Macaca mulatta: one gene and its partners. The protein of the gene in region 1 purifies or fractionates together with the protein of each later gene. This does not show direct contact. Links are inferred from orthologs where the notes say so. Each region holds a gene or a part of one and is shown on either strand. Other genes may lie near its edges.

Evidence for each region.
Region 2: the proteins of AP2M1 (region 1) and NECAP2 purify together in Homo sapiens (affinity purification with mass spectrometry; 4 studies listed by BioGRID and IntAct, counting the BioPlex papers as one, with this or other methods). This does not show direct contact. The link is inferred for Macaca mulatta from reciprocal best matches to the Homo sapiens genes AP2M1 and NECAP2.
Region 3: the proteins of AP2M1 (region 1) and ITSN1 purify together in Homo sapiens (affinity purification with mass spectrometry; 3 studies listed by BioGRID and IntAct, counting the BioPlex papers as one, with this or other methods). This does not show direct contact. The link is inferred for Macaca mulatta from reciprocal best matches to the Homo sapiens genes AP2M1 and ITSN1.

Annotation. Positions count from the first base shown.
Region 1 is NC_133407.1:96,316,314-96,320,827, forward strand, and holds the end of AP2M1 (AP-2 complex subunit mu), read left to right. Parts: intron 1-136; coding exon of another isoform or gene 137-142; intron 143-340; coding exon 341-476; intron 477-576; coding exon 577-718; coding exon of another isoform or gene 719-727; intron 728-1,191; coding exon 1,192-1,311; intron 1,312-1,407; coding exon 1,408-1,543; intron 1,544-1,646; coding exon 1,647-1,744; intron 1,745-2,212; coding exon 2,213-2,324; intron 2,325-2,934; coding exon 2,935-3,069; 3' UTR 3,070-3,543; downstream 3,544-4,514.
Region 2 is NC_133406.1:224,573,073-224,577,715, reverse strand, and holds part of NECAP2 (adaptin ear-binding coat-associated protein 2), read left to right. Parts: intron 1-1,820; coding exon 1,821-1,998; intron 1,999-4,643. UniProt on the Homo sapiens protein: Involved in endocytosis.
Region 3 is NC_133408.1:13,591,095-13,595,737, forward strand, and holds part of ITSN1 (intersectin-1), read right to left. Parts: intron 3,255-4,643; coding exon 3,025-3,254; intron 830-3,024; coding exon 708-829; intron 1-707. UniProt on the Homo sapiens protein: Adapter protein that provides a link between the endocytic membrane traffic and the actin assembly machinery. Acts as a guanine nucleotide exchange factor (GEF) for CDC42, and thereby stimulates actin nucleation mediated by WASL and the ARP2/3 complex.

The sequences.
Region 1 (4,514 bases):
GTCTTGAGGCCTGGTGTTCCTCAGGAGGAGAGAGCTTGGGCCCTCTCCTATAGGATCCAAGCCTCATAGCTTTCTCCTCCTTTTCTGCCTCCCTTGCTACTTCATGTGGGCACCTCGTTGGCCCTGCGGCCTCCAGCATCAGGTAAGCCCTTCCCTTAGCTTCCGCCCTTGCAGCTTTGCTTTGTTTCTCCAGGCCCTGCCCTTTGGGGCTTATAGGGGAAAATGGATTACAGGTGGGGACTAGAAGGGATGGGGAATGAGGGTGGAGTGGGGATAGAGACAGGATGATTAAAGGGAGAGGGGAGTGAGGCTCTTGCTGTTTGTTTCTGCTCCCATGTAGACAAAAGAAGAGCAGTCACAGATCACCAGCCAGGTGACTGGGCAGATTGGCTGGCGGCGAGAGGGTATCAAGTATCGCCGGAATGAGCTCTTCCTGGATGTGCTGGAGAGTGTGAACCTGCTCATGTCCCCACAAGGTGAGGTCCCTCTCACAACAAAGCTGGAGGGGGACCAGGGCAGGATCCTGGGTCTGCCTGCCTGACTCTGCTGCTCCCCATTTATCTGTTCCATCATCAGGGCAGGTGCTGAGTGCCCATGTGTCGGGCCGGGTGGTGATGAAGAGCTACCTGAGTGGCATGCCTGAATGCAAGTTTGGGATGAATGACAAGATTGTTATTGAAAAGCAGGGCAAAGGCACAGCTGATGAAACAAGCAAGAGGTGCCTGAGGCAGGAGAGCTGGTGGGAAAGGGTGTCTCTTGGAGGGCTCGGTGGGGTCTAGTGAACCACAAGTTTCTTCTGGATTTCATTCCCACTGTAATTGCAAACTCTGTTCCTGACGGTAAGCCTGGCTGTTCGCTCTTGACATTGGTGCTAAGAGAGATGAGGGGACTGTCCTCAGAGCAAGCCCCTTTTTTTGGTCCCTAGGACCAAGGCCTCTTCTGTACATACTGATAGCCTCCTCTGCCCAGTGTGCCTGAAACACCCAGGTCCCAAGCAGCAGGGCCCCCAAGAGATGAGTTTACAAGGTTTCCCTCTCATCCCAAGCTCTGGGGCAGACCTCTGAGTCAGAAAGCTGCATTCTAGCAGCTTTTCATAGTCTCTGGTGCCAGCCTGGGGTGGAGTGGTCTCCCAGCGTGACACCTGTCATTCTCCTGTACCAATGAGACCTCCTCTTCTGCCCCTGCTTGCAGTGGGAAGCAATCAATTGCCATTGATGACTGCACCTTCCACCAGTGTGTACGACTCAGCAAGTTTGACTCTGAACGCAGCATCAGCTTTATCCCACCAGATGGAGAGTTTGAGCTTATGAGGTGCCATTGGGGTGTGAGGAGGCAGCCAGTGCTGCTGGCAGATTGGGGAGAGGAAGTGGGTCAGCTCTTTGGTAACCTTGCTTCCCATCCCTTAAGGTATCGCACAACCAAGGACATCATCCTTCCCTTCCGGGTGATCCCGCTAGTGCGAGAAGTGGGACGCACCAAACTGGAGGTCAAGGTGGTCATCAAGTCCAACTTTAAACCCTCACTCCTGGCTCAGAAGATTGAGGTGAGGACAGGGGGCTTGGGGAGGAGGAAGAACTTGTCCCTAGGAATAAAGGCAGCTGATGTCACAGCTTGACAGAGCTCCCTGACAGGTGTGTCACTTCTAGGTGAGGATCCCAACCCCACTGAACACAAGTGGGGTGCAGGTGATCTGCATGAAGGGGAAGGCCAAGTACAAGGCCAGCGAGAATGCCATCGTGTGGAAGTGAGTCTTTCCTTCATTAGGCCACAGCAGGTTCAAGATCCCAGTGTACCCTCTTGTTTTCACCTTTGATCCTTCTGAATGAGGGGTGGGGGAGTGTGCCTCTTTGCTTTTCTAGGAGCCTCTGCTTGTACTGTCAGCCTTTATGCCTCCATGTGAGTATGTACACGCCTGCATTTGGGTTCATGCACGTGCTTATTTTTTAAGATGCTTTGGCATTTCCCTGCTTGCCTTTGTAATGTATCTGTGAAGCTGACAAAGCAAAGATAGCATGCCCAAGTGTCTAGGCAGAAACTGCATCCTGTTGTCCTAAAGAAGTAGACCCAAGCTTCCATAGCAAGTAGTTAGCAGGGTCCTGACCACTTCTTGTGGCACCTCCTGCAAGCTCCTGGGCGTGCTCCTTAAAATGGGCAACTGCCCTTGAAACTTCTCCAAGCTACAATGGGCTGCCTGTTGTCCCTGTGTTCCTAGGATCAAGCGCATGGCAGGCATGAAGGAATCGCAGATCAGCGCAGAGATTGAGCTTCTGCCTACCAACGACAAGAAGAAATGGGCTCGACCCCCCATTTCCATGAACTTTGAGGTATGGCAGAGGAGGGGCCTAAAGTCATGCCAGGGTATGCTGGAAAAGCTCTTAGAGATCATTCCGATAAACCGCTGCACCTTAGAGGTGAGGAAACTGAGGCCTAGAAAGAACTGGCTTTAATTCATAGATCCATTCTTCCCCTTTCAAGCCTCTTAGTAGAAGTTACTATTCATAGTGAGGCAAATCTTTCACTTCTCTTAGCTTGTCCTAACACAGTTCTTTCGAAAAACTTAGATTGTTTAAATGCCAGGTAAGACACAAAGTTTACTTACAGACAGGATAATGGACTGACTTTGCTTTGTGCATGTTAGACATAATTTTCTCCACCTTATTTTTAAGTTCATAATATTGAGCAGGATAAGTATGTTCTAAAGCAGTTCATTGGTTGCTGTCTCCTGCTGATGAAAGGAACTGATTCCGGGTGTCACTGGCAGGGCTTTCTTCTTCAGCCACCTCTTAGAGGGTCCCTCACCACCCCAGCTTCTTTAAGGACCCCAGCCATTCAAACACCTGTAGTAGAGATGAAGTAGAGCAGGGCAACGGGACTTCCCAGAGGAGAGCAGCTGTAAGAGGAAGGCCACATTTCTAACGAGCTGTCCTTGCCCAGGTGCCATTTGCGCCCTCTGGCCTCAAGGTGCGCTACTTGAAGGTATTTGAACCGAAGCTGAACTACAGCGACCATGATGTCATCAAATGGGTGCGCTACATTGGCCGCAGCGGCATTTATGAAACTCGCTGCTAGCTGCCACTAGGCAGCTAGCCCACCTCCCCACCCACCCTCTTCAACAGGTCCAGGTGCCGCTCCCTCTCCCACCACACATCAGTGTCTCCTCCCTCCTGCTTTGCTGCCTTCCCTTTGCACCAGCCCCTGAGTCTAGGTCTGGGCCAAGCACATTGCAAGTGGGACTGGTGGAGTAGCCCCTGGGCTCCCTGGACAGGGAAGTTCTGAGGCTCCTGCTCTCCCCTCCACCTGTCTGTCCTGGCCTAGTGCCAGGCTCTGAGTTCTGTGACCAAAGCCAGGTGGGTTCCCTTTCCTTCCCACGCCTGTGGCCGCACCTCTGGAGTGGGAGGGTCGGTTGCACCCCTCACCTCAGAGCTCTCCCAAAGGCCAGTAACGGATCCCCAGCCCTCAGTCCCTAGTCTGCTTTGGGATAGTGTGAGCTTCATTTTGTACACGTGTGACTTCGTCCAGTTATAAACCCAATAAACTCTGTAGAGTGGAGTTGCTGGCTAAGTGTTGATGTGGGAGCTACGTGGGGAGGGAACTGGTGTTGCTCTCCCCGCAGTTTTCTGTTCTGAATACTCTAAAAGCTCTTTCCTTGTCTTGTCCCAGTTAGGCGTCTCCTGGGCCATCCAAGCCCCTATCCTTGTGGGTTTTGGGCCCAGGTTTTCTGGCTCCTCTAAGAAAGCCTCAAGGGCAAGCAGCCTCAGCAGGCCCCAGTACCCTGGGGGTAGATCTTTCCCTAGCTCTTTTTTATTCCCCCTGGTCCTCGGACTCCTAGGCTCAAGAGATCTTTAGCCTAGGATCCAGAGGCTGCCTCAGCCTCTGGAGTAGCTGGGATTACAAGCACGCGCCACCACAGCACCCAGCTCTTTCTCTAATTCTTAGGCAGATGTTTTCTAATTAGATTAGGTATAGATTAAGTGAAGTTTACGTTTGGTCTTATAGCCATCCTAAGAAATTGACCTTTTAATTCCATCATTTACCCATGCTTCCCAAATCTTGCTGAGTGGGTGGTAGGAGGAAAGATTTGCAAGCAGAATAATACAATGGACTGGGTGCGGTGGCTCACACTGTAACCCCAGCGCTTTGGTAGCCGAGGTGGGTGGATCACCTGAGGTCAGGAATTCAAGACCAGCCTGACCAACATGGAGAAACCCTGTCTGTACTAAAATTACAAAATGAGTTGGGCATGGTGGTGCATGTCTGTAATCCCAGCTGTTCGGGAGGCTGAGGCAGGAGAATGGCTTGAACCCAGGAGGTGGAGGTTGCAGTGAGCCAAGATCGCGCCATTGCATTCCAGCCTGGGCAACAAGAGTGAAACTCTGTCTCAAATAAAAAAAAAAAAATATATATATATATATATATAAATGCATCTCCATGTCTCATCACCGAACTTCAACTATGATCAATGTGTGACCTGTTCCTTAATATCACATCCAATCTGTGTTCACTAACCAGGTGTC
Region 2 (4,643 bases), on another chromosome or scaffold:
TGGGGGCACCCAAGGACCAAGTGGATTGGTTTTTGTTTTTGCCAGGAATACTGTGTTGAGATGGATTTGTTTTTTGAAGAAGCTTTGTAACGCTAAAATAATGCTTTTCCTCTTTACTTACCATCTCTTTCTCCTCTTTTCTGCTTCGTGCTGGTGATTTGGGATCCTTGAAGTTGGCCAGCTGGCCCTTAAGAGAGAAATGCAAGTCCAATCCAGTGGACTGGTTGGGATGCGATTCTTTCTCTCGCTTGGAGGAAACTAACATTTAATGAGCACCAGCTGTGGGCCAGGTAGTGTTTTTAGGCGTTTCTCATGTGAATTAAACATCTCCCTTTCCTCTGTGAGATGAGGAAATGGAGGCTTAGGGATGGTTGGGGACTTGCCCAGGGTCACAGAGCTACAAATAATTGGCACATCTGTACTCACACTGAGGTCTTTGAGGTCTTTTGACTTCAGGGCTGGACTTACTATTCTATTAAGCTGCTGCTTTCCTTACAAGTAGGGAACATATTATCTTCATCTGTGTGACTTGTGCTGGTTTCTGGCTCATGCTTGGTGCTCAGTTTTTTTTTAAGCATTTTCTTGAAGTATAATATGCATGTAAAAAAGTGTACAAATCATAAGTGCAGAACTTAGTGAAATTTTAAAAACCTAATTTATAGGCCAGGAGTGGTGGCTCCTGCTTGTAATCCCAGCACTTTGGGAGGCCGAGGCGGGTGGATCACCTGAGGTCGGGAGTTCAAGACAACCCTTACCAACATGGAGAAACCCCGTCTCTACTAAAAATACAAAATTAGCCGGGCGTGGTGGTGCGTGCCTGTAATCCCAGCTACTCGGGAGGCTGAGGCAGGAGAATTGCTTGAACCCGGGAGGCGGAGGTTGTAGTGAGCCAAGATCAAGCCATTGTACTCCAGCCTGGGCAACAAAAGCAAAACTCTGGATCAAAAAAACAAAACAAAACAACCCAATTTATAAACTTGCACCTCGCTCAAGATGCAAAAGATAGTCAGCACTCTGGAAACACCTCTCCTGGCCCCTCCCAGTAACTACCCTGAGTAACCCTATACTGACTTCACATACTGTAGGTTTCATTTGTTCTTAACTTTCATAAGTTGAATCATACACCTAATCCTGTTTTGGGATGATTTCTTTCTCTTACTCAATGTAATTTTTGTAAGAGTCATCCATGGTGTTGTGTGTAGTTTGTTCATTCTCACTGTTGTGGCATGTACCATTGTGAGAATTCATCCAATTTATTTATGTTTTACTGATGATGGACATTTGGGTAGTTTCCAGTTTGGGGCGATTACAAATAGTGCTGTTGTAGATGTTTGAGTTCATGTCTTTTGGTGCATATATGTATGATTTCTGTTGGTTTATATCTAGGAGTGGAATTGCGGAGTCATAAGTTTAAGTTCCTATGTTGAGCTTTATAGATCCTTTCAAGTAATTTTTCAAAGTAGTTTTACCAGTTTACACTTCGATCAGCAGCACATGAATGGTTACTCCATGTCATAGTCAATACTTGATAATCTACATTTTAGCCATTCTGGTGAGTGTGTAATGGTTTATCATTATAGCTTTGATCTGCATTTCCCTGATGAATGAAGTGGGGTGCTGGGTTTTAAAATGGACCTTATTTGTGATAGATTCAGAATGATGATGCACTAAGTGTAGCTCATAACCATGCTAGGTAGGACCATCTTTTGGTTAGACAGATGTTAGGGCTCTGGGGTCACCTTGGCCCTCCTCGTGGGGTTTTCTGGTAGCACTGGGACTGCAGCAGAACTGGCTGATTTGCATTCCTCTTCCCTGTTTAGAACATGAAGAAGAAGGAAGGAGCAGCCGGGAATCCCCGAGCCCGGCCTGCCAGCACAGGAGGGCTGAGCCTGCTTCCCCCTCCCCCAGGGGGCAAAACCTCCACCCTGATCCCTCCCCCTGGGGAGCAGTTGGCTGTAGGGGGATCCCTCACCCAGCCAGCAGTTGCTCCCAGTTCAGGTTAGTGCTCAGTGGGCGACTGCTGGATCGGTACCTGTGTGCTCCTCTTCTCACTGGCAGCTGGGCCCCATGGTTTTCCCCCCGTCACACACGTGGATTGGTAATGTAGTACCTGTCCATGTCAAAGAAGAAAGGCGGGCACCCAAAGCTGATTCTGCACACGCTGGTAAGGGGCTCCTTCTAGTTGGCCTTTATGGCGTCTGCCTTCCCCTGAGAGGCCGGGGCTGGGATTTGTTTGTTACTGTGAAATCATCAACATGTCAGTTCCTGGTTCCCAGTGTGTGCTCAGTGGGTACTGAGTGAGTGGGTAATGGAGACACTGTCTCTGCTCACGTGTAGTGTGAGAGATGAGTCACAGCACAGAGACCAAATGTGTAGGCCTAGACCCACCATCAGCTAGTGTGATCTGGGGAGGTTTCATGAAAGAGGTGACATTGATCTGGACCTTGAAGGAGGCAGATAGAGTGGGAGTGGTTGGCATTCCAGGCAGAGAGAACATGAATGAGGCCAAGACTTTTAGACACCTGGTGTATTTAGGGAGATGGGTACAGCATAAGGTATGCCAAGGTGAGTGGTGGGAAATGAAATTTCGTTTGGAGTGAGCACCTCGGGTGTGGAAAGCTGAGAGCATTTGCCCCGGCAGCTTGTGCTGAGGAGCCCTTCGGAGACCCTGGGATTCTGGAAGTGAGTGTCTAGTGTCAGCCTCTGACCACGCTGGGGTGCCAGCCCTGTGCCTCTACCTCCCCACCCTGCCCAGCCCAGCTTGATGCTCCTGGCCTTCCCCGGGCTGGGCGATTGTTACCAGCCTGCCTTCTGCCCACAGCTCTCTCCAGCTTGCAGGCAGGAAGCCTTCCTGCTGTGCTGATTCCTAAGCATCCCCAACATCAGCTGCCCTATCTGGAGGTCAAGCTTTAGGCTTCAGCCCTGGGGGGAATACTCTAACCTGGAGAGTGGCAGAAGGGGCAGTCAGAGAGCCCGCCTGGTACTGGGAACTGTTCTTTTTTTTTGAGACTGAGTCTGGCTCTGTTGCCCAGGCTGGAGTGCAGTGGCCGGATCTCAGCTCACTGCAAGCTCCGCCTCCCGGGTTTACGCCATTCTCCTGCCTCAGCCTCCGGAGTAGCTGGGACCACAGGCGCCCGCCACCTCGCCCGGCTAGTTTTTTGTATTTTTTAGTAGAGACGGGGTTTCACCGTGTTAGCCAGGATGGTCTCGATCTCCTGACCTTGTGATCTGCCCGTCTCAGCCTCCCAAAGTGCTGGGATTACAGGCTTGAGCCACCGTGCCCGGCTTGGGAACTGTTCTTTAAGCGTTATTTCTCAGAGTGGGGTCATAGGACCACTTGCCTTGGCATCACTGGGGGATAGGGGCAGGAATCTGCATTCTTATGTCTATTCTTTTTTTTTTTTTTTGAGATGGAGTCTTTTTGCTCTTGTTGCCCAGGCTGGAGTGCAATGGCATGATCTCGGCTCACCGCAACCTCTGCCTCCTGGGTTCAGGTGATTCTCCTGCCTCAGCCTCTCGAGTAGCTGGGATTACAGGCATGCGCCTCCACACCCAGCTAATTTTGTATTTTTGGTAGAGACGGGGTTTCTCCATGTTAGTCAGACTGGTCTTGAACTCCCGACCTCAGGTGATCCGCCCGCCTTGGCCTCCCAAAGTGCCAGGATTATAGGCGTGAGCCACTTTGTCCAGGCCTTATGTCTATTCATGTTTGTGTGTTGACTAAAGTCTGAGAGCTACTACCTTAGGCCATCCCTTGGTTGCTGATGGTTATTTATTTATTTATTTATTTGAGATGGAGTCTTGCTCTGTCACCCAGGCTGGAGAGCAGTGGCATGTTCTCGGCTCACCACAACCTCTGACTCCTGGGGTCAAGTGATTCTCCTGCTTCAGCTTCCCGAGTAGCTGAGATTACAGGCATGTGCCACCACACCCACCTAAGTTTTATATTTTTAGTAGAGGCAGGGTTTCACCATGTTGGTCAGGATGGCCTCGATCTCCTGACCTTGTGATCTGCCCACCTCAGCCTCCCAAAGTGCTGGGATTACAGGCATGAGCCACCACACCTGGCCTTGCTGATTCATTTTTAACAGCATTTTAATTTTAATATGGTGTGCTTGCTGTTTGCCGGGTAAAGTTCTAGGCAACTGGCAGGTGTAGCATCAAGTTTTAGTTCTCAAGGGCTTGTGTTCTGGTGTCTGAGACAGGCAGTTAGCATGTCTACAAACAAAATGGTGTCAGATAATAAGTTATAAATAGCAACATTTATGAAGCACTTACTATATGAGCAATATGGTTGGGTTCAAATTTCAGCTTACCAGCTTTGTGATCTTTATTAATTAATTTATTTTTATTTTTTTATTTTTGAGATGGAGTTTTGCTCTTGTTGCATAGGCTGGAGTGTGACGGCATGATCTCAGCTCACCGCAGCCTCTGCCTCCCAGGTTCAAGTGATTCTCCTGCTTCAGCCTCCTGAGTAGCTGGAATTACAGGCATGTACCACCACGGCTGGCTAATTTTGTGTTTTTAGTAGAGACGGGGTTTCTCCATGTTGGTCAGGCTGGTCTTGAACTCCTGACCTCAGGTGATCCTCCCGCCTTGGCCTCCCAAAGTGCTGCAATTACAGGCATGAGCCACCATGCCTG
Region 3 (4,643 bases), on another chromosome or scaffold:
TCAGTCACATCATAAGATTGTTATTAATTAAAGGAAAGAAACAGTAACAAAGTAAAATTTTAAATTATTTTCTGTTTCAGAGTAGGAAAGCAGATTAACTGTGTAATTCATTACTCTTTTTACATAATTCAAAGTTCACATAATTAAAGGGAAAAAAGATGCTCTGATGCAAAGATACAAAAGTTATTGCAATTATGAGAATGATGATAGGTGTTCTGCACTTATAACTATTTCTTAAAGACTCCTGGCCTCCTCCCACTTTGGAGGATCCTAGTGTGTGTGTATATATATGTACATATGCACACTAGCATATATTATACATATATATACACACGCATGCTAGTATATAGTCTATACATCATATATAAAATATATGTATTACATATATATTTATACTCATATATTTCTACTCATAGTATATAAGTAGTAATCTAAACTCTGAAATTATCAGACATTTATAGATTTAAAAATAAGAACACATTGTCTTTACCAACTCAATTTTAAAGTGATGTTGGGATACATTTTTTAAATGCCATCTTTCATTTTAATAAAAAAGAAAGAAGACTGAGCTTACACTTTAAAAATCTAGATGCTGAATTATTGGGTTTCATACTCACTGACAATCTCACAATTGTTGAATAAAGTGAAACAAGAGGACAGAGGCTAATCTTCAACAGAAATGACCCTCTCACTGGAGTCTTTCTTACCATGACTATGTCTCCTGGCTGGATAGTGATTTCATCATGGCTTCTGGATTCAAAGGGGTACAGTGCCCGGTAATATACCACTTTTACGTTTTCCTGTGCAGAAATGGTAAGTGGACCTTTTTCTGTTTACAAAAAAGGTGGGGGGACAAAAATAAATAATTACAGAGAACATAAATGTACGACAACAAGCCAAACAACTAACCTCTCCTCTATTGCCTATCTTCACCTCTGAACTATTTCCCTCCATTCAAGGAATTTCTGAAACACATACTGACTGCCAAAGCAGAGCCAAATCTGACGTCAGCAACTCAAACCCATCAGAGAGTTCATTGGTGACTCCCTCTAAACAAAGGTCATTCCAAGGCTGAGTGTAGCCAGGCTGCCTAAAGGTCCCTTGTCTCTGCCTCTTGGCTTGGGCTCTAGCAGTGCAGATCTGTAAAGCATCAATACCCCCTCCTCCCTACCCAGCGTGTTGAGTACAATGTAGCAGTTAGGATACGACCCAAAGTCTGAATCAGCCAAGGAGCAAACTTGTTTGGGAGGGAACAGAGGCACCAGTTTCCATACCAAAACATGAAAATGCAGATGTTTTAGGCTCTTTAACATGGTCATATAAAACCTAAGTGCTGATTTCAGTTATACTGATAATCCCCAATGAAGAAACTCTTCCTATACATTTCTCTGGGAAATAATGAGCCTAAGGATGAACCCTAGATGAAAATAATTTAGATTTTAAATGAAACAAAATGTTTAGAAATGCACATGAGCAAAGGATATTTTGCATTCTGGTTAGCAACAACTAATAACAGACCTTTGGGCATTTTTACTCAAAAGCTACAAGTATTTTGACATATAACTCTCTTATCCAGAAAGCAATGAGGGTAAAGTATTATCTCCACATGATTTTGAACTGTATGACATGCAAGATTTCCTACTGACTGAAGGCGAAAAAACAAATCTTCATTTTATACTAGGAGGACGCGTGAAGAACTTAAACTAACTGCCTAAGATCAATGGTGAAATTATTTTCAGATAGAAAAAAACTATCAAAAAATTGATTTGCCCCTCCTATGACATGGTTGCTACTGTGTAGGTCTGATGACCTGCCAGTCTTTCCCCTGGACTGCACGCATCTGAAGGCAGGTAGGTGCCTACTGCATCTCCATACCTCACGCCCATCTCAGCCCACTATGCAGCTGGGAACCAGTAAACCTTTACAGAATAGCTTGAAAGTGTTTTTTCTTTCTTTTCTTTCTGTATACCGCAGCACTAAAGCAGCACACGGATGACCAAGCAAAATTGGTATAATTTTCCACACAAAGAAAAAGCAACGACTTGCTTCCGCTGAGCATTATTTGCAAAACTGTACAATCACACAACCACACAGGAATCTTAAATACATTCTAGCTTACATCTGTTATTATAAAGGATAGCTTTTCCTAGCTATTCCAATTAGATCGGTCTTTCATTTATCTTTTTGTTCAGTCTTTTATTTATCCTTTTTTTTTAAAAAAAAAAAGGCAAATTAGGCCAGGCATGGTGGCTCATGCTTGTAATTTCAGTACTCAGAAAGGCCAAGGTGGGAGGATTGCCTGAGGCCAAGAGTTCAAGACCAACCTGGGCAACAAGGTTAGAACTCCATCTCTACAAAAAAAAAAATTAGCTGGGCATGGTGGTGCACACCTATAGTCCCAGCTCCTTGGGAGGCTAAGACAGGAGGATTGCTTAAACCCAAGAGTTTGAGGCTGCAGTGAACTATGACTGTGCCACTGTACTCTAGCCTAGGCGACAGAGTGAGACTGTCTCAAAGAAAAAAGAAAAGCAAAGAGAAGTAAAGAAAAGAAAAAGCAAATTATGTTCAAAGGACAAAACGCTGCCACTTTTCAAAAAGTAAAAGCAGCTCTATGCAATGCAGACCGAAGACAGCGAATACCCCATCAGTGGAGGCAAGGGTGAAAGGTGCCACTTTCTGTTGCAGAAACAGCCCAGAAATTCCAGGGAGGGAAATAACAAACCAGAGAAACAGCAGGTTCTTTTGCAGCATATACGACCAGTGGAACTTCACGCCACTTGTTAACTCTGTAGAGGACTCGTGGATGCCGGTGTAACGTGGGCCAGAGGCTGGCATGGTGATGGGAGAATTACACAGATCTCAACTGACCCTGGGGAAAGAAGAGCTGCCATGCTCAAAATAAGAGACTGATGTTCTCATCTGTTAATGTAGCCAAGACTGGTCCTGATGAGATATGGGCGTTTTTCAGGAGGATCTGGGAGAGAAGATGACTTATTTTCTAGAATTATTTTTGGCTTCTAATACCTGAAGTGGACCAGGGTGCCTGGACAGCTGGCTTAGCTGGTTCTTGGTGCTGATGGAAAAGCCGACCCAGCTTGTCTTGTGCTTCCTGTTTGCCTTTCTCCTCACCATCCTTCTTTTTGATACTCTCCTCCCTTTTCAGTTTTTCCTCCTCGTGGAGTTTTCTTGGTCGCTGATGCTCGTCCTCCTGCTGCACATGCTCCAGCCACTGCTTGTCCCTTTCCTGAGCTCGTCTGCCAACAAACACACTTGATTACAGCAAGGAAGCAGCTCTAAGTTAACACTACTGTTGCCTCTTTTCACAAAAAAAGCTCCATCCAGTAAATGGGATGGGAAACATCAAGGGAACATTGTTCTTCAGACGGGGCAACTGAATCAGGGCTTCAGTTCTGAGTGAGAAGAAATCACATGATTTAGGAAAACACAGAAAATTTCTGATGTATTTTATAAAGTGGTTACAAGAATAAGAAACACACTTAATAATAAAGCGGGTATTAAACTGACCAAACAGAGCCATAAAACACAGAGAACATAACTTCTATAAAAATAAAATACACCCAACACTGTAAATGAAATATCACTTAAAATAAGTACATGATCAATCAGATCATTAAAATTTCCCCCCAGCAAAGGGTACAACACATTTACATGCATACATGTTGCTCCCCAAACCTGAAGCTGAAAGCAAGGGATTGTTTTATTGACTTCAACTACTTTGATTTTGTTTTTCTAAGTAGCTACCACAAATAGATAATTGTAATTAAATCTAGGCCTTGTAATTTTTGATGGCCTCAACCTGAAACCCACAGTAAAAGACTGAGAATGATTTTTCTCATTCTATAATACTTTATAAAGTCAGAAAATACTTTAAATGAAACTAATATGTAATAACAAATGATATAATAATAACTAGCTCTCCATATATTAACTCCTTTAAACTGCGAATCAGGTAGGTAGTCTTAGTATTACTCCCATTTTACAAATAAGGAAGCTGGGGCAGAGATATTAAATGACTTGTCCACATCACACAATCATATGTGCCTGGGCTTCAATCCCAGGCAGCCTGGTCCCAGAGTCTCCACCCTGAACTGCCATCCTGTGACATGGCTAACGCACACAGGTCATTGGCTAGAATTAGGAATTTGCCACGGGAACATAATTGAAACAAATTATACTTTTATTCTCCATTGTCAAAAAATTACATTTATTGCTACTCTGTATGAATGTGAAATTTTTATGCAGAAGTCTTCAAACTTAAATCTTAAACATTTTATTTACAATTTTTAAAATGTCTTTTAGGAAAGTATAAAAACATTTTTTGGAGGGGTAAGGACACTGTTATTCATGACAACAAAAAACCATAATAAAAACAGTGGCCAGGCACGGTGGCTCACGTCTGTAATCCCAGCACTTTGGGAGGCTGAGGAGGGTGGATCACCAGGTCAGGAGTTCTAGACCAGCCAGGAGTTCTAGACCAACATGGCGAAAGCTCATCTCTACTAATAATATAAAAATTAGCTGGGCGTGGTAGCGCACGCCTGTAGTCCCAGCTACTTGGGAGGCTGAGGCAGGAGAGTCGGTTGAACCAGGGAGGCAGAGGTTGCAGTGAGCTGAAATCATGC